Linked DNA regions of Schizosaccharomyces pombe. The protein of the gene in region 3 interacts with the protein of the main gene of each other region in a pairwise test. Each region holds a gene or a part of one and is shown on either strand. Other genes may lie near its edges.

Region 1 (4,591 bases), on a different chromosome or scaffold from region 3:
CAAAACTGTTAGTAATTGAAGCACATTACTATAAACGGCACGGAAAAATTAGACATACCTCTTCAAGCCAGCGTTGTCCTCTGAAGGAACAGCTTTGAATCGTTTCATCTTCATTAATATAAACGAATGCTAATTCAAATAGTCTGTCGAAATAATCATCGGACATCCGAGGAAGAACCGAGTATTTGTGTTGGCGACTTAACCTGAATTGAACCAAATACTACAAGACTATAGCCTTTTTTGGTTATTATGGTTTCAATTGAAGCTATGAAGGATTCAAATTGGGACTTGCAGATACAAGTATTCCGGCGAAGGCTTAATCCGGAAGTTATGTAAGTACTAAGCAGGTTAGCTGTGGGTTAGTTAATGTAAACATCTTTATTAACTAGTACCAGAGAGGCAAGAAATGAGATTTTCTTATCCTTGCCCAGTGATCATGGATTGATTACTTTAGTTATAAATAAAGATAAACCGTTTCAAATATCGGTATTACTTGAAAAAAATCAAGAGTTCATGCAAACGGCAATGAATAAGTACGTTGAAACGGCATTTCAAAATCAGAAAACAACTTTGACAAGTTTATTTAATTATTTGTTACAAAATTGGAAATCATTTGAGACATGCAATACAAAAGAGCGTGAGTTGATGGTTCAACAAGTCGATTCTAAGAAACCAGAAACCCCAACTGACTTAGAGCCGTTGGCAAATAAGCTTGAAGGACCTCTATCAGAGAGGGTTCATTTGAACACTACACTTGACTATGAAGTACTGCGTGGTCAAAATCACTGTCAAAAGCAGAATACTACCCAAACAAAAACTACCATCTCTGGCTCTGAACAGTTATTCAATGATGAAAAGCCAAAAAAAATTATTTATTCAAAAGGAGGAAACGATGGGAAAGAAGATGATCTACAAAATGTTAATGAACCACAGGATGCTTACAGTAACGATCATGACATTCAGAGCAAAGACACAGAGCTTCTGGGTAACGAATACTGCTTAGAATGGAAGAATCCGCATTTAACTAATGTCGGTACTCTCAAAGCACCAATTTTACGTTTGGTCATAAAGTGTGTTCGGTGCCATTATGGAAGTGAAATTTCTATTGCTACAAAATTTTCTCTTGTTTGCAATAAGTGTAGTAATACTCTAAGATTAGTTTGGGTGCCTGGTGTGATTCACCCAAATAATGCCCGTTTAGGTATCCTCCATACTTTAGGATGTGTACCGGTTGACGTGATGCCCATTGACTGTCAGGTCTCTTGTATGGAATGTGTTGATGAGCAGATAACATCCTTTAAAGGTATTTCTTCCATGCAGCCCATGCTACAGTTTTGTAAAGTATGCAAAAACAGAATCTTGGTTGAACATCAAGATACCGAATTTCATTTGTTAAAACAACGACAAAGTTCAATGGGCGGGAAGGTGAGCGCAAAAAAGAAGCAAAAACAAAACTTAAACATTACGAAAGGATTGCCACTTCCCAATAATGGTGCTTGCGAACATTACAAAAAATCATTCAGATGTAAGTCGTTTATAAAATTCATAATTAACAATCAGGGTTTCGTTTTTCATGTTGTGATCGTGTTTATCCATGTGATGAATGTCATGACGCTGATCAAAATCATACATTTGAGCATGCTAATCGAATAATATGTGGGTACTGTGCCATGGAATCTTTCTACAAAAAGGATGCAACTTGCCCCCATTGTGGAAATATGACTGTGAAAAAACAAACCAGTGCCTACTGGGAGGGAGGAAAAGGAATGCGCGATCGCGTTCGCATGAGTAGGAAGGATCCAAGGAAGTACAAAAGGAAGCATCACGGTAATTAATTGGGTTGCATGACATCCATATTTTTTTGCTTCATTAGATACCCATATTGTATAAAAATTTAATGAATAACAAGTAGTTAATCTTTTGATAGAAGATACTTTTAAAGTCTTCGTATTTAACCAAAATAATTATCCTTCATCATCACTCACTTCATAATTGACGAGAGAAACCGAATTATCTTCAAGGATTTTCTCTCCCTTTAAATTTTCTGTAGGAAATTTCCTTTGCTCGCTCCTTAGCTTCTCGGAAGGGACAAATTTTCGAGCAAAAGGATCTTTTTTTGCGAATGAAGTCTCAGCAAACTTTGCAAAAGTCGAAAATGTTCTAGAAGAGGGCATTAATGTTCTTCTATAATCTAATTTCCTTATAAATTTATTCTTTCCTAATTCGTTATCTAGCAACAATAATGCCTTATCCTTGTCAGAAGAAGAGGGTGGTAATATATCAATGTCCAACGCTGCACGGTTTTTGAGAGATAGATCTTTAGCTTCTTGCTTTTTTTCAATTTTTTTCCTTTCCTAAGTTATGGGTTAGTTAATATGAAAATTTTAACGCAAAACAAATTCTTCTTACCCGAAACTGTTTTCGCAGCCTCTGAGAAGAAACGAAAGGATCCGACCAAAGCCTTTCATTTTTCTCATATATAAAGTTTATTACAGAACTATTATGCTTTTCTGACTTTTGCTGAGTTAATTGGGTTTCCAGCGCTTCAATTGCATCAGACGGCACCTTTTCGTCGTTTTCAGCTTTTGCAGGACGTTCATTGATGTCTTGAGGTTCAATTTTCCTTCTGCCTCCAGAAGCAACGATGTATTCTGTATTCTATTTATGTCAGTAACAAATTTGTTAAATTAATCAAACCAGTACCTTAGGATCCGTATGTACATCGATAGGGTTTGAGCATAAATGACATTTTAAGCTGAATGACCATATTTTCGTAGTATAGTATGAGCCAATCTCTTTTTTAACAGCATTGAATCTAGTGCCTTGTTGAATGATATTTTCACAATTGTTGCACCACACTGGAAATGGCATTTCAAACCGAATTACATTTCGTAATTTATCAAATTTTCTTTTAGCATTCGGCCCTTCCGGGGGAATATATTTCCCCATATTAAATCCTTGCATTTTTAGTGAGTATATAGCTCTTTATGCCCAAAATCAGTAGTTCCTAAGTTAATACTACGTCTAGGTGAAGTTCAGGCTAAATCAGTGGCATGCAACAGAAACATAATTATAACTCTTAGTTAATTCATGGCTTTTCAACAAACAATTTTAAATTACGTTTGCTAAATTGACGTTAAAATAATAAGGGTTCCATTCTACAGTTTCAAACGGACAAGGTAAACATGTACAAATAAATAAATTACATGACGATTATTTGAATTCATTTCTTATAAATTAATAGAAAATTATAAATGACATAAAAAGGTATCGATGAATTATTAAACACTTGATGATATTTTTAGGTTGCTTCAACGGGGACGTTCAATTTCTTGGCCAAGTCTAAGAAGCTTTTCGTGTAGCTATAAAATTTCGGCCTTTTGCATAATGATAAGACAATCAAAAATGTCTGCTGAGTAGGGAAAGGACCGTTATGCGACATCCTTTTAATGGTATTTAAGCATTCAGCTGCTTGGCCCTGCTGAACAAGGTTACGTAGCTTCTCATGATATACTTGAAGATTTAAATCAAATTTGTGACTTTCCTCAAAATACTTCCAATACCTTGCTAACAAATCACCGTTTTGTATTTGACGAATGACCTGTAATGCTGTAACCAAACTTCTTGAAGTACAATCGCAATATGGGGGTAAAGGATAACGCAAGTTGGAATCTTCGAAAATCTGATATTCCAATCCCATCACTTTTGTAAGAATATTTAACCCCACGTTTCTCACTTGAGGCGAGTTGCTAGTAGCCAGAAGTTTCACAAAGGAACAAATAAGACTTTCATCAACTGCTATTCCTTTCTTTTGGCATTCAAGGACAAAATAATTCCAAAGATTCGTCCCCATCTTTAACACTTCTTCACGTTGTTCCGGATTGAACATAGAAAAGTCGTTCAAAAGTCGAAGAATTTGAGATCCACTATAGAAATCCAATGTTTGTTTGATGGATGGAATAATCATTGACACCAATACCATACTTTTAAGCTTTAGACTACACTTGGATATAATTCGTATGTGATGCAAATTGGATGTGACATTATTAGACTCCTTGAGAGCACTAGCTGTTACCTTTTCACTATATTCACGTAGTTTAGAAAAATTTCCTTGCTTATTCTTTTCAATAGCATCGCAAAATCCCTTTAGAAGAATGGAGTATGTATGATCGCTAGGTTTTTGTTGGCGCTTTTTCATATCATTGTACAAAGACCAAGCAGCGTTGTAATGCCCTTTAGCTAAATGATATTGTAGTACAAGGTTATAGGCAACCGTCTTCTTGGCATTTGATCTCTCGTACAGTAAATGCAATGCTTTCTCTAAAGACTCTTTTTGAAGTAACGAAGATACATTTTTAGCCAGTTTGAAACCATCGTTTCTTATTAAGGATGACTTAGTTTTTTTATTTCGAAACTCATTTAGATTGTTGACTTGCTCCTTGAATTTCAAAGCATCAGCGATTAAAAGGCGCTTTCGTACTAATTTCCGCGCATTACTTACTGAAACACTATACGTGGTTGCAAATTCCCGCAAGCAGAAGCGGTTTAGGAGCAAATCGACAAAGGCCCTTCGCGGAAATGTCCTTTTAAT
Region 2 (3,398 bases), on a different chromosome or scaffold from region 3:
CCAATTGTTGAAGTTGATACATAATATCTTCCTCACCAAACTCCAACTCTTCAGCGGAGTGTGATTTTTCCTCATCCTCTTCTTCATCAGATTTTTCATAAAATTCTTCAGAATATAAAACGGATTCCTCCGATGATTCTTCTAAACCAGAGGGCTCTTCAATCTCTGTTTGTAAATGCCTAGATTCATGTATTTCTTCGTGGTTGGTTTTACCACTATCAACGTTCTGACTCTGTGAGGAATCTTTACTGATTTGCTTCCGTATCGGAAGACGTAATATCTTCAAGTCTTTACTAATTTCCAAAGGAGGTTCCCAATATGATTCATGGCTTTTTAAATTGTGAAAGAAATACCGATTTTTCTTAGTAAAAACAACCACCCATGAATCATTATTAGGAATTCTTTTTCTAAAAAAAAAGTTAATAACAAAATTTTACGCCTCACATACTTGAATTTTGGTCTGTCCGGTAATTGTTTCCTCAAATCTCGAGAATTTTTGCGCTCTTCAGCATTTTCATTAACAAACAGCTTTTCGCTTGTGTTAAACGCCAAAGAAGCTTGCGAAGCAGTAACAGAAGATGAATGGTTTTTCTCAATGAAACTTGGGCGCTGGTAAGTGCTTTTTTTTAACTCGGCATTCCAGTAATAAGGAATCCCACTGGGTGCTATGAGTTAGCAAATAAACTGCTCATTAAATTTACCTTTATGTTCAGTCCATCCAGGAGGCAAAGGCTGTGACATTAAGATATGTACAATCAAGAAGTTAAGTTCGACACTATGTTAGGTAGTATTCAGTGGGCGTGTGTGTGAGAATAGATAGAACAGTTTTGCAAAATCCAGCTGAATAGTTATGTCAATTACAAAAAAATTTCTACAAACTATTAAAAAAAATCTGTATAAATTGCATAAATTCATAGGTGTAGTTAACATTATTGAATATACTACAAAAACCTCATAACAGCACCGCACGTAGCGTCTTCCCAAGTATTTCCTTTAGAACAAATAAGAAGTTAATGAAATGGTCTACCAAGTACAATATAATAAAACATTTTCGAGAACTTCAATTTTAATATTGTCAATTTACAACAACCCGCATAAATTTACGAGCAATTCATAACTCGTGGTAAATCGTTAAACGGCAGGCTGGAAGTATTTGTAAGCAGCTACATTTTTACACTAGTATTGACTCCTCTGGTTCAAATATTTTTACAAGCAGATTTTAATTATTAGCAACCTACACTGATAACTTTATATCTTGAGGATATGAAAGTACTAAAGGTAAATTGATTATCGTAAAAATAGCTCTCATTTATAAAGACATTTGTTGTACAGCATAGCTTGTAAAAATAAGCGGATTAACAACATACTAATTTAAATCATAATAGATTAATTGTATTAGAAGACAGGTAAAAGTCAGTCCTGTTATAGTAGTGTAGTAAGCACATAAAGAATAAAGCAAGTGTGGTAATCGCACTTCGGTAGACCTCATTAATGTTCGTGATCTAGTGCTTCGCGCATTTTCGAACTTGTCATCAACCAAATTCATTATGTCAAGAAGCTACGATTCTCGCACGACTATTTTTTCACCTGAAGGTCGTTTATACCAGGTTGAATATGCATTGGAAGCGATCAACCATGCTGGCGTTGCTTTAGGGATTGTAGCTAAAGATGGAATTGTTTTAGCTGCTGAAAAGAAGGTTACCAGCAAACTATTAGAACAAGAAGAATCCGCAGAAAAGTTATATCATATAGGAGACAATATGTTATGTGCTGTGGCAGGGCTTACCGCAGATGCAAACATCCTAATTAACTACGCTAGAAGGGTTGGGCAACAATACTTGCAGACTTTTAATGAAGAGATGCCTTGTGAGCAATTAGTTCGTCGCGTTTGTGACCTCAAACAAGGTTATACACAGTATGGTGGGCTACGTCCATTCGGTGTTTCATTCTTATATGCTGGATGGGATCATATTCGTGGATATCAGCTATTCCAATCTAATCCATCTGGAAATTACGGAAGCTGGCAAGCAAATAGTATCGGAGGAAATAGTACTAGTGTTCAAAGCTTAATGCGACAGGAGTATAAGGATGATATAAACTTAGATGAGGCTTCTGCTATGGCCGTGAAATTTTTGAGTAAAACGTTGGACAGTAACTCCCTAACTCATGAAAAAATTGAATTTGCAACAATAACAAAGGATACCACGAAAAACAAAATGGTTTGCAAAATATGGAAGTCAGATGAAATAAATGAAGTGCTCAATAAGTACCAAGAGACCCAGCGGCAATCTTAATATTGCCTTACTCAATTCATTGGGAAAACACTTTAAGTGTATAGCTGTTTTTTATAGCTTTCGTCGTTACCCTTTAATCTCCTTGTAATTAGCTCATGGTTTTTGTAAACAATTTGAAGCAAACTAAGTTCCATCATGAGCCTTATTCCGTCTCAATATAGGCTTGCTTTCTTTTTATCTACGCTAAATCATTATCTTATGAATTCTTATGCCGTTTTAAAAAAGGCTTTTTTCAAGTTTCTTTTATACTTAGACCTTTCTTTCTCATTCCCTTCATAACGTCAATTTCTACTTGAGTACACCATTCCGGCATATTTAAAATTATAGTATTTCCAATGGAATGTCAATGACTCTCATATGTTCTAAACTATATGCTTAGTTTTCATAACTGAAGATTTTAAACGGTGTAGCATATTCCAATTCTATACTATTTATAAAAATAAGAGAAAACTTTTTGATGAGTATTATTAACTTTCACTTACATATTGAAGGATAAAAAAAATAACTATTGATATCTAAAAAAGGAATAGTAAAACAAATAATCTAATAATCGATGTAGTATAGACTAGTTGGCTATATAAATATGTTGGTTTGACAACCTTCCTTAGCGTTTAGCTTGGATTCATACTCTTCAAGAGTCCACTTTGCGGTATCTAGTTCACATTGTTTTCTAATTAAACTGGCTTGAACTGATTGCTTTATAAGCTTAAGATCATGGTTGAAGCGATCATACAACAGAGGGATAGACTTTTTAGAATCTTCATTTAATCGAGTCATTTGAGCCAACCTTGCAAGAGTCAGATGATATTTGCGTCGTAAATCCTCGTATGCCTCTCGTTCTATTTGACCAGGTAAAATTTCCTTAGGGTGTCTTTCCGGCATTTCTTTCATGGCAATTGCTTGGAATTTCGATTCATCTAACTGTTTATCATTATTGGAATTCGCAGGGGAAACCGGAGTCGGCAATTCCTCTACTGTTCCAAAAATGCGATCACTGTGGTATGCAAGGTAATAAACAAGTTCTACAGCATTACTTCCAAACATGGAAGGAGCCAAGGCAATTGCTAGTTGTTTCGTAACAAAATCACATTGATCTTTAAGAGG
Region 3 (7,642 bases):
AATGATGGTCCTTCTCTTTTTTGTTGTATAAAGTTATCGCAATTTGTTTAAGACCGAGTTTTTTAGTTCACTTTATTCTCTGTAATTATCATGGACTAACAATCCATTTAAATTTAACTATTCTAGTTTTGACATTTGTTCTCTTACTCATATGTAGATTTTGACTGAATTTGTACTTCTGCAAATAGTCGTGGTAACATTTTTAAGTAGTGAATTTACTTTTTAGCGTGCATTTCTTATCTTATCTCTAATAATAATGGAATAAGTAAGTCGAAAAAGTACTTACTTTGCAAAATCAAGAAATAGCAAAAACCAGTCTGTGTAAGAATCAGAAATACAAATAAGACAAAAATTTTATAATACAAAATTTACTCATGTCATTATTATAAATCATGTTAACTAAATATGAATAGTCCTAAGAGTGATTTATGAACCATATGAAAACATCTATTTTGCTTTCTTTTGGTTCGAACTGGATCCTCCTTTGTTCGCATCGTCACGTTGTCTTTTAAGGGAGCCGGATTTAGCAGTGCTTGACAGTTCTTTAGCGTTTTGGGCAGCATTCTTTGAAGTAGCAATTCGTTTGGAAGCTCCAGTTATTGAGAGTTTTCCACTGTCTGGTTTCATAGGAACAGGACGCGAAACAGCGGGTCGTTGAACACCTTTTTGTTTGCCTGTTCCTTGAAGTCTTGCACTCAGAGATTTACCGGAAGGTTCTCTCTTGGCTGACGAAGCTTCTGTAGCATTCTGACCAACATCAGCTTTGCTAGCTGTTGGTTTGGAAGTAACAGGCTTTGTTTCTGTTACAGAAGACGTAGATTCATCAGTCTTTTCAGGATTGGATAGCTGTTTATTCAAATTCTCAATAGTTTCTTCAAGTTGTGTAATTTTGTTCTGAAGATCCCTAGTTTTCTTCTCATACACAGATATTTTAGCTTTGCTCCGAAATTCTGTCTCAGCTACCACCTTCTTCAACTTAACATCAAAGTTGGCAGAATTTTCTTTAAGCTTTTCTTCAACCTGCTGCTTAATCATGTCATCAATATTGTCATGAGTATTTTCCGAAGAATTTTTTTGAGCTTGTTCCTCAAGTTCCTTTATTCTCTGTGACTTTTCGTTGAGTTGATTTTCTAACTCTTCCTTTGTCTTTTCTTTCTCTGCGACGAGTTCAGAGCGAGCAGCCAAAATTTCGGTTTCCTTTTCTTTTTCATAATATTGTTTCGTAGATTCAAGTTGTGAACGTAGCCTTGCAATCTCATCAGCATTCTCTAAACTTCCTTGGGTCGGTGAATGCTCTCGTAAAGCTGCCAATTCCGCACTCAAGTTTTGTACTTGTTGCACAAGTCCTTCTTTGTCAGACCGTAATTCATGAATTTCTTTTTCAAGATTTGAAATTTCAGTTTTACCGTCAGCATCGACAGCCTCAGATTGCAAGTGTTCTAGCTCGTTCTTAGAATCTGCTAGCTCTTTTTCAGTTCTTTCCTTCTCCGACTTGAGTTGTTCAAATTGTTCCTTCGTGATCTGTTCAGCATCACTGGAAGCCGATTCTTGTAATTGATGATTGGAATCCTTTAGAGACTCTATTTCTTTTTGCATTGCTTCATTTTCAGCATTCTTAGAGGTTAACTCCTTGTTTTTGTTGGTCAATTCCTGCTTTAGATGGGCAAATCTTGTTAAGCTGGATTTTTTCAAATTTTCACATTTTTCATTCCAAGCAGCTGCCAATCTAGTATTTTTGGTGTTTGCCTGCTCAACTTCCTTCTTCAAATTTTCCACCTCTTCGTTTAGAGAATTAACCTGTTGCTTAAATGTATCGGTTTCTTTTGCTGTCTCCTGAAGTTTCGTTTCCAACTCTTGTTTTTCTTTTTCTAATGCTTCACAATTTTTCTTTAACTCCTCTAACTGTGTGGGATCAACACGCTCATACTTGTTCAAAACGGACTGAAATCTTAATTTCCATCGAGAATTGTATTCCTTCATTAAGTTCAGACTTGCTGTCTTTGCGCCTATTTCTGCCTTAAGTTCATTTATTTCAGTTTGTAAGGGATTCAATGAAGCATTCAGTTTTTCAACCTCTTTCTCCAGCTCTTGTATTTTTCCAAGTTTAGCATCATTGTCCTTTCTAAGGACACTATTACTTTCATAAAGTAACTGAACTTCTTGACTTCCGCTGATAATGGGGGTATCTGTTTGGTCATTTGACACAGGCAGAGACTGCAGACGGTTGAGCTCGAGTTGCAATGAATCAACGGTGGATTGCAAAGACTTGACTTGTTGATTCAAACCTCTATTATCCAGAATTGTTAACTCATATTTATTATCCATTATTTCCTTTTCGTGCCTCAAGTAGCTAACAAGTTCACGTAAATCGTTATCTTGAACGGCTTCTAAATTGGCAGATATATTTAAATTTTCAGAAGAATTCTGTTGAAGAACAGTTATTTGTTGACTAAGAGAATCAAATTGCGAATGTAGTAGTTTATTTTGATTTTCAAGTCCCAAAATGTAATCTTTCAAGGAGCTAATTTCATCTTCCATGGCTTTCCGCTGAATATTCCAATCCTTTTCAGCACCTGAAAGTCCTGAGTGCTGCTGTTCAAAATTTGCTTTGAGCTTTAAATATTTCGTATTCACCTCGTCAAATTCAGTACGTAAATCCCGCAATTTTTGAGTGGTACGCCCATGACTAACGATCTCTGATTCGTAATTAGAATGACACTCCTTCATTAGAGATCTTTCTTTTTCAATATCTTCTTTCAAAGAGGTAATAACACGATCCGCATCTGAACGAATTTTTTCATAATCTTTTTTGAAAGAAAGTGCACTATCCTTTTCACGAACAGCATCCTCAAGTTGTTTGGCAAGTTCCTTGGACGAAGACTCTTTCTCTTCTTTTAGTACTTCAACTCTCTTATTAAGATCCAACAACTCAGAGCGAAGGGACGTAATTTTCTCTTCCCTTGTGCTAATTTCAGATTCTACTAGATGCTTAAACTGCTCATGGGTTTCATTCATCATTTCCAAGGTTTTTTCTGAAGCGAGGTATTTTTGTTGAATATTACTCTTTTCAAGCTCGGCCATGCGAAGTTTTTCCTTCGTCCTTTCCAGTTCAATAGATATAGCCTCGACTTCAACATTATCAGGATTTTGTGTCGTGTCTTTATTAGCCGCGATTAATTTAGATTGCAAGTTCTCCTGCCGTTCTTCCATAAACTTTAAGCGCTCTTTCAACTCAGTGGTTTGTATTTCTAACTGATTTCGCACGGTGCGTTGCAATGTTATGTCTTGTTTTAACTCAGTGATGTTAGACTGAAGTTGAAGCACCAATGTTTGATGCTCCCTCAAATCAAATGAATTTTGTAGAGTAAGTCTACGAACATCATCGGAACACTCAGATAGCTTTGAATTAGCAACTCGAAGATCATTAGAAAGTTCAAGTATTCGACTATTCATTGAGTCCACTGTTGCCGTATACTCTTGATTTGAAGATTCAATTTGAGCTTTCATATGGAAATTATCCTGCTGCAGGGACGAAAGTTTCGACTCCAAATTAGATAAATCGGCTTTCAACTTATCCTTGACGGAAGTTAAAAGCAGGTTTTCGCTTTTTAAATTATCAACAATATGATTGGATTGTTCAAGCTGGCTATTACAGATTGATAATTGAGAAGAAACATTTTGAACTTCAATTTTCTTAGAAGCAAGTTGCTCTTGTAAAGACTTATAGCTTTCATCAAGTTCATCTTTACTTCTTTCAGATAAAACAAGTGATTTTTCCAGATCATTTAGCTTTTCAAGGGCTAAGCTTCGTTCAGATGTTAAAGAGGTAAGTTGCAATTGAATATTAGATTTTTCGAGCTGGAGAGATGAGATAGCTTCCTCAAACTTTTTTTCTTTGTTACGAGAAATTGACTTAAGGGACTCCAGTTCATTAGTTAGCTGTTCAAGTCGAATAAGCGAACGCTGGTAAGAAGTCTGCTCAATTAAATTAGTATTCAATTTGGAATTAGGAGTTGCAGGCGCCATATCTAAAAGTTTTTCATTCTCTTGAACTAGTGATCTAAAAAAGTCTCGTTCCTTTAAAGAGTAGCGTAACTGATCGCTCACCTCCTCCAACATTTTAGTAAGTTGATCAATAGTTTCGTTAGCTTTTATCAGTGTTTCTTCTTGAATCTCGGCTCCATCAAGATCAGGTTTTTCGTCTTTCTCCATACGATCAGCTAATTCATGAACTGCAGACAGTAGATTTTGATTTTGTTGTTGCAATTCTCTAATATTACGAAATACAACTAGCCTGCTTGAAATTATTTGATCCGTATCAGTTTCATCTTCAGTGAGCGATTTTTCAACATAGGAGTTAATCTTCTTTCTACTATCCACGCCTAGCACTATGCCGTTCTCACACAAATCGAGTTCATGAAGTAAAACTTGCACCTGTCGCGCTAAATCTTTGGTCTCTTGCTCATAATGCTTATTCTCTGTGCATTTATCTTTAAATAGTGTCTCTAATTGCTCGTAACGGGACTTGGCTTTCTGACAGTCTTCCAATGACTTCTGATATTGCTCACTCATTGCAACAATTTCCCGTTGCATATGAGCAAATCGCTTAAACTGTTCTTTAACCAAAGGATGCTGAAGATTCGCTTCTTCCATAACATGGTTATAGCTACGTTGTAACCTTTCAACCTCTTGACATGTTTGCTCATACTTCTGTTTATAGTATAAACGCTCGGAATACAAGTCAGAGACGGAGGACTGACCTTTAAAGCCTTTCATACTATTATTTAGTAAATTTGAGTATTTCAATTCACTCATATCTGAGATTTCTATTTCATCATAATGCCGAAGACGCTCATTAGCCAACTTTAGCTGAGACTCTAAACTTGATACCTCTTTCTCTAGAAAATTGATTTGAGATTTCAAGGAAGCTTCTGCTTCCTTATGAGATTCAAGCTGTTCTTCAAAAGATGATTGTGCAGCTTCCAATAGCTTTTCCAACTCGCCGTTTGAGTTCTGCAACTCTTTGAGCCGTAAAGAGCAATCCTCACATTTCTCCATCCACAACTCACTAATTTGCTTTTGTGAAGAAATCTCTTTTTCAAAAGAAACTTGCGAAAACTCATATTGCTTTCGCATTTCGGAGAGTTCAGCTACAATATTCTGATATCGTAAATTACTTTCTGTAAACTGTTGAGACAAAGAACTCACTTTCCGTTGTAGCGCATCTTTTTCCAAAACAGCGTCAGATAATTGAGAACTTAGTTGAGACTTTTCCAAAGAGGCCTCCTGATGAAGAGATAACAATTTGTCGTTCACACCCTGAAGCTCTCGGCTTAACCAGGTGTTATTATTTTCCAAAATCGAATTTTTCTGCGTTAATTTTTGCAACTCAAACTCATAGTTAGTCTGCAAAGATGCTTTTTCTTGTTGTGTATGTTGAAGCTCCAAAACTTGATGGGTAGAACTGGCAAGGGCATCCTTTAGATCTTTAATGATAGTGATTTTCTTTTCAACTTCCTTTTCTTTATCTGATAAAAGATTTTGAAGTTGAGCAGTTTGCTTCAAATTTTGATCCTGAGCTTGTTTTAATGCCTCATTTACACTTTTGAGAGAACTGCAATCGTGCAAAACAGTGTCATATGAAGAGGATTTCTCCCTAAGATATTCTTTGATTTGAGAGAGTTCATTCTCTAAAAGCTTGCGCTCATCCTCTAATAAATCGTAACGTTCGTTTGATTGAAGTAGTTTCTTCTCCGAATTTCGCAATTGTTGCTCGTAATTGACTTCTGTAACTATACGATCATTTTTTATACTTTCATAATCTTTGCTTTTACTAATTAAAGGTATTAATATGGATGTAAACGCGTCCACCTGAAGTAAAGGATCAATTTTTGTCTTTGGTATGTCTAGAAAACTGCATACCCCGAGTATATCAGCTTCTGTCCAGGAAGAATCGTGCATTGCCTCAAACAAATAGCTTCTAACTATTTTTTCAGTTTAGAGACGCTACCTTTGTTTGAAACACGTTCTTACCTATTATGGTGGTGCAATGTAAGTCGATGGGTGTGTAGCGACGAGGTAGTTGATACCCTAATAAATTCAATTTCAAGTCATAAAACCATTACAATTAAAAATCTATTTAAATTCTTTATTGAGATAACTAATATAAGTCCGTATAATATAATCCATTTGTTTGTGTCACTAGACATAAGCAATATACATTGCCTTACGTCTTCTTACCTAAGCTATAAATCAGCGTTCACTAGGTAAACTACATACTTGTATGGATATACCATATTCTTTTAAAAGATGAATATATAAAAAATGGAAAAGAATTTAAAGCTAATTTTCCTGAGGCATAACAGTTCAAAGATGTAACTTTTTAGGGGAGATCAAAATTAAAAAAATTTGTCATCATCGTGTATGTGACAATATTATAAAACAAGCTTGCTCCCTCAACGTCCCGGTACTCGAGAGTTAACGGATTTTAGAGCATCAGTCGCTGGTTTCTTGGCAGAAGAGTCCATAGCAGGAGTATTCAGCGCACTTCGATTGAGTCCGATATGGGATTTAACTAAATGGCCACTAGCAAGTGCGGAACACAAAGACAGTTCACCAGCCATTACGGCGGCTGCAACGACACGTGCTAGTTGACGAGAATTATCACCGGGAGAGGTCATATGGGCACCTCGCACACCGAGCAAGTCAAGCATAGCACCTTGCGGTTCCAAAACCGTTCCACCACCAATTGTTCCAACTTCAATGGATGGCATTGACACGCTAAGCTGAAGGTTACCATCAACATTATCCATCAAAGTTATACAATTACTGCTTTCAACATTTTGGGCAGGGTCTTGACCAGTTGCTAAATATACTGCCGTGACAATGTTAGCAGCATGAGCATTAAATCCTCCAACGCTGCCAGCCATAGCACTACCAATGAGGTTTTTGTCAACATTTAATTTAACCAAATCTTCAACAGTAGTTTTCAATACCGATTTGACAGCATCACCAGGAATAATAGCTTCAGCAATAACACTTTTACCACGACCATCAATCCAATTAATAGCAGCAGGCTTCTTATCTGTACAATAATTCCCTGATACACTGATCACTTGCATGTCATCAAAACCAGCGTCATTGCTCATTACTACAAGTGCATGCTCAACACCTTTGGAAATCATATTCATACCCATAGCATCACCGGTAGACGTACAGAAACGGATGAAAAGACGAGTACCAGCTAGAGCAGTCTTAATATGTTGAAGTCTAGCAAAACGGCTAGTAGAGTTAAAAGCCTTCTTCATAACCTCTTGGCCTTCAGGGCTATCCAACCAAATTTTAGCACGACCAGCGCGCGTCAAATTCGGGAAAGCCACACATGGTCCACGGGACATTTGATCACGAGTCAATACAGTAACAGCACCACCACCAGCGTTAATAGCTTTGCATCCACGCATAGTAGAAGCAACCAATGCACCCTCAGTAGTAGCCATAGGGATATAAAAAGGCTTACCGTCAATAATGAGAGGACCAGCTACACCAAGGGGCAAGGGCATGTAACCTATAACGTTTTCACAACATGCATTCAAAACCCTAGAGTAATCGTAATGATAGACGGGGCAATTAGAGCTTTCAAGTG
Region 4 (4,544 bases), on a different chromosome or scaffold from region 3:
GCAAGAACAACATCACCGTAGTCCACAAGGCTACCATTATGCGCATGGCTGACGGTTTATTTTTGGAATGCGCCAAGGAGCTTGCACCTGAATATCCTGATATCGAGCTTAGGGAGGAAATCTTGGATAACGCCTGCTTGAAGATTGTCACCGATCCTGTCCCTTATAACAACACAGTTATGGTTATGCCCAATTTATACGGTGATATTGTTTCTGATATGTGCGCTGGTTTAATTGGCGGTCTTGGTTTGACTCCTTCCGGAAACATTGGCAACCAAGCTTCCATCTTTGAAGCTGTTCATGGTACTGCCCCTGATATTGCTGGAAAAGGTTTAGCCAACCCTACTGCTTTACTGTTATCTTCTGTAATGATGTTGAAGCACATGAATTTAAATGATTATGCCAAACGCATCGAATCAGGTATGTGTTTTACTAAATTAAGATTTTGTCTGTTTACTAATTACCATTAGCTATCTTTGATACCCTTGCAAACAATCCCGATGCTCGCACCAAGGATTTGGGCGGCAAGTCAAACAATGTTCAATATACCGATGCCATTATTTCTAAACTGAAGTAACATGCCCATTTTGTTTACTTCTTGCTATGAACACTGAATTTATGTTTCTTTCCTTATCATGAGTTTTCTCTCCTAGCCGATTTTTGTTACCACTTTTAATGAATTGTGTAACGATTTGAGTTGTAATTCGGAAGCATTAACTCTTTTGTATCAAAAAACCGAATTGATCGAAATGTTAGTTACAAATATTTCAATATGAAATCTCCATTTTTGAAATGCTTATTGCACTCTATAAGATTAATCAATTAGTTGCTTATATTTTATGACAGCCGCATACAATGCAGCCCATTAATTCATTCTCTGAAAAACTTTTGTAAAAGTAAATAAACTAGCGCCATCTTCCTTCTTCTACCTCTATGTTCATGTTGTCGCTTGTATTAGATTCGCCAGTCTCCATGGATGTAGTATTAGTTGTAACAGCTGTTTTTGGCACCCACGCCAACTCCAATTCTTGAAGTTTTTCAACGTTCCGAACTCCACCAAAAAACTAAAATTTGTTAACTTGAAATTTTTTCTGTCAGAGAAAGAATCAGCTACATACCTTTTCAGCGGAATTTCTATTCTGAAAACTGATAAGACGTTCAGTAGTTGAAGGTTCAGTAATTTCCTCATATCCTCCAACAGTGAATAAGTATTGCAACAAAGCTTCATTTTTTTCAGGAGAAACATTTATTACACGAAGCTTAGTTGGACGATTATCGATGGACATTGACGCAAACATATCACCTCGTCCGCGACCTCTGCCACGGAAAAATGTGTTGGTACCTCGCTGGGGAAGTCCTGAAGCGTAAGGATGATGAGAACCATTAGATGCCGCTGGGCTTTCAGAAACGTTGCTCACAGGTAACCCTAAGCAATCAGCCTCAGCCTTCAAAAGAGAATGCTGAGTTTCTAACAACATGAGTCTTTTGTTTCCTGAACGGTCAGTTTCCTTAATTTTTTGCATCAGTAACTCTTGTTCTTTTAATTGTTGCTGTGCAAGCTCGCGCTTTTTTTGGTTAAGTTCTTCTAGTGCCTTTTTATTAGCATTTATGCGTTTTAAACGTTCTTCGTGCTGCCTTTGCCTTTCTTCAATCAGTTTATGAAACTCTTCGTTTTGTAACAAAGAAGCAGGATCGACATCTTCAGAACTCTCTACATTCGACGAATCGGAAGTAGTGGGAGATTTATGGGATGCAAACTTCTTTGGTCGATTGTGAAATCCCTTTGACGGATTATACCAAAATATTTTAATAAAGCGATTGTTAAATATGGGCTCAGGCGAGGACCAAGCATTGTTGGCAGCCTCATGGGAAGTGAATTCTAACACACAAGAATGATGTGTCGGATTTAATTCGACTTTCTCCAATACACCGAACTTTGAAAAAAAGGACCTAATGTTCTCCTCATTAAAATGCTCTTCCGGAATGTTTCGCACTTCTAAAGCAGTACTTGTTGGATCATTGCCAGCGTTACGAGAGAAGCGATGTCCCAGATGGGGTTGGGGATACGCTTTGTATGGATTAAATCTTCGATTACCAGGAGAATGCCTACGAAGTTCACTATTATGCTCATGGCGCATGCCAAATCCTCTTTTACCTCGCATCTTAAATGGGGGAGGGAAAGGAGGCTGCGCCGCAGGATTAAATGGTAAGAATGGTATGGGAGGCATTGCAGGATTTGGTAAGTTTCCAAACCCAGGAATACTGGGCATGAATTCAGAAGGTGCTGTGGCTGCTGGATGGTACAACGGAGGTCCAAACATATTAGGCACCTGAGAGGGAAAAGTGTTTGTTTTTCCTACAGCAGGTAAAGAATTATTAAAATTGGTTTCCATGCTGTTGGTGGCAGGGATCATTGATGAAGTTGGCGAATACCTTGAAACTTCTTCAGTCACCATACCGGTTGACGGCATATTTGAAGCACCCTCCAAGTAAGATTTTTCACGTAAAACATCAAAAATTTTATCAACAAAAGGAATTGTCTCCTGTCGCAAAAAATCTTCTAGTTGTGAGTAGCATAACTGGCGAACTTCTTCTTCAGAAGAATCGTGCCTTAACAATGCCATAGCATAATCTGATAAAACACTTGCATCAGCATCAGAACTAGTCATTTCGTTAGCATATTGATAAACAATTTTTTAGCGTGTAAAAAAAAAAATCACGCAAATTGGCAACTCAAAAAAAATTACATACATTGGCTCCAACGCCTGTTCTAAATATCTTTTCAAATACTAAAAGCGTTAATTCGGCATCTTAAAAATAAAATTACCTCAGCATGTTCTTCTAAGAACAACGGCATTGTGATGGAGCAAAGTGCTGGTTGTTGGAGCGTTACGCATGGTTGAGCCAGTAAGAAAATATAGATCACATAAGGTAAAATCTTTAACAATTAGCCAGAAAGTTCAAAAAGAATAAACATAATACCAAAATAATAACAAATGTCTTAGCTAGGGCAATTGGCTGGGATAAAATTTAACTGAGTAGTCGACATTAGATAAGGAATAGGAAGGTTTGCATAATATTACTCGTATTTAGACTACTAATATACAATGTATTTTAAGTCAAACTCTGACGATTATGAGAGTTTCGAAAGAGTTCACTTGTCTCCAATTATTTCATTGATTAAATTGTCAGCACAACAGTGAGTAAACGTGTTAGCTATATGCACTTTTTTATATTTTAGCACCACTTATAAATAGTTAATTTTAACGGTGGAGTGATTACATTTATATTAAATTATTTGAAAACCTAACTCGTCAAGAGAGCTAATGAACGTCCGGTATAGTCCGCATGAGTAAGTTGAAAATTAAAAAAAAAGGAAGTCTCTACATAAGAAGAGAAGAAGTTTTGCTTATGTACATGCGAAAACGCTTTTTACCCATTTTTTAAAAAAAAAGGTGATGTAGAAAGAAAAGAAAGATTATAAGTCGGGAATGAAAGATAATAGTTTAAGTTGACAGAACAAGATAAGGAAGTTAAGTGACAGCAACTTTCAATTAAGCCTTTATTTAAACCCTTCCAATTAAGATGAGGCAAGTAAATGATCAAGATGTGTAATGAATCATCAACATCCTTTTTTTAATTATCCAACGATAAATCCTATTTCAGTGGGTCTGTAAAGCAATCTCATATCCCAACATAAAAGGAAATGTCCTTAAAAGTATCCTAATAAATTCAAATCGGGTAAGTATGTAATAAAAGTATAACGACAATAACTGATCAATAATATAGCGAAAGGCGCCAGCAACAACGGATAGCAAAAAAAAAAATAGCTGAAAATTTTAATCAAAATTTACGTTATGAAAAATGACAAATACTAGAACAGTATAAACATGAAAAGCATTAACAACGTTGAAAAGGAAATAAACGATCGCATCCTTTATAAATAGGATAAGGGTATAAGTAAATCTAGTTCTGTTTAGAAGAAGGAGATTCAGAGGACTCGTTACTCTGTATGCTATTGTTTTTTCTATGTATTGAAGCAAAATATGAAGAACGAAAAGCTTCCCAACCTTCGATCACCAATATGTCAAATCGTTTGCTTGATAATATAAGATGGACACCACAATCCAAAGGCTTTCTCACCTGGAACCACGGGACAGGAGTTATAACAAGGCGAATGTTAAAAAACCTCATCGCTTTGTTGACTTGTTGAACATAACGTGATGGATATACTATTGTAGTCCGATACAATCCAGAAAAATAAAAGAGCAAAAGTGTAACAATTCCGCATAAAAGACAAAGTTTGTAAGTCAAATCAATCAACGAGTATTTTGAGATGCGATAAAAGACGCGATAGCCAAAGTAAAAGTTCCACACCAATAGTGAGACATAGAAAGCCATATACTTTTGACGACGAACTTGAAGCTGTAGGTATGTTTTCCGAAACGATGCCTCTAAAATTAACAAGTTGTGATATACGGACAGGGTGTTGGGCACATAAGAGGACATGGCATTTTATTCACTCTTAACAATACGTAGGAAAA

Evidence for each region.
Region 1: the proteins of nup211 (region 3) and saf4 interact in a two-hybrid assay, tested with the Schizosaccharomyces pombe proteins (one large-scale study listed by BioGRID).
Region 2: the proteins of nup211 (region 3) and pre9 interact in a two-hybrid assay, tested with the Schizosaccharomyces pombe proteins (one large-scale study listed by BioGRID).
Region 4: the proteins of nup211 (region 3) and rmn1 interact in a two-hybrid assay, tested with the Schizosaccharomyces pombe proteins (one large-scale study listed by BioGRID).

The regions. Positions count from the first base shown.
Region 1 is NC_003423.3:1,786,083-1,790,673, forward strand, and holds saf4 (splicing-associated factor Saf4), read right to left. Parts: upstream 2,965-4,591; coding exon 2,704-2,964; exon of another isoform or gene 2,659-2,703; coding exon 2,410-2,658; exon of another isoform or gene 2,355-2,409; coding exon 1,965-2,354; 3' UTR 1,836-1,964; coding exon of another isoform or gene 1,561-1,835; 3' UTR 1,526-1,560; downstream 1-1,525. Other genes in the region: ubiquitin hydrolase Ubp4, read right to left, coding at 59-166; SPOM_SPBC18H10.09 (zf-CHY type zinc finger protein), read left to right, coding at 250-332, 396-1,525, 1,561-1,835; PPR repeat-containing protein Ppr2, read right to left, coding at 3,302-4,591.
Region 2 is NC_003424.3:423,373-426,770, reverse strand, and holds pre9 (proteasome core particle subunit alpha 3), read left to right. Parts: upstream 1-1,531; 5' UTR 1,532-1,547; coding exon 1,548-2,294; 3' UTR 2,295-2,845; downstream 2,846-3,398. Other genes in the region: splicing-associated factor Dre4, read right to left, coding at 1-407, 449-665, 702-741; RhoGEF Gef2, read right to left, coding at 2,868-3,398.
Region 3 is NC_003421.2:1,563,961-1,571,602, reverse strand, and holds nup211 (nucleoporin nup211), read right to left. Parts: upstream 6,054-7,642; 5' UTR 5,962-6,053; coding exon 448-5,961; 3' UTR 353-447; downstream 1-352. Other genes in the region: 3-hydroxy-3-methylglutaryl-CoA reductase Hmg1, read right to left, coding at 6,456-7,642. UniProt on the Schizosaccharomyces pombe protein: Functions as a component of the nuclear pore complex (NPC).
Region 4 is NC_003423.3:488,195-492,738, reverse strand, and holds rmn1 (MTREC (exosome adaptor) complex RNA-binding subunit Rmn1), read right to left. Parts: upstream 2,884-4,544; 5' UTR 2,858-2,883; coding exon 2,828-2,857; exon of another isoform or gene 2,790-2,827; coding exon 2,752-2,789; exon of another isoform or gene 2,662-2,751; coding exon 1,119-2,661; intron 1,065-1,118; coding exon 906-1,064; 3' UTR 578-905; downstream 1-577. Other genes in the region: idh2 (isocitrate dehydrogenase (NAD+) subunit 2), read left to right, coding at 1-420, 471-577; protein phosphatase regulator Nem2, read right to left, coding at 3,967-4,509.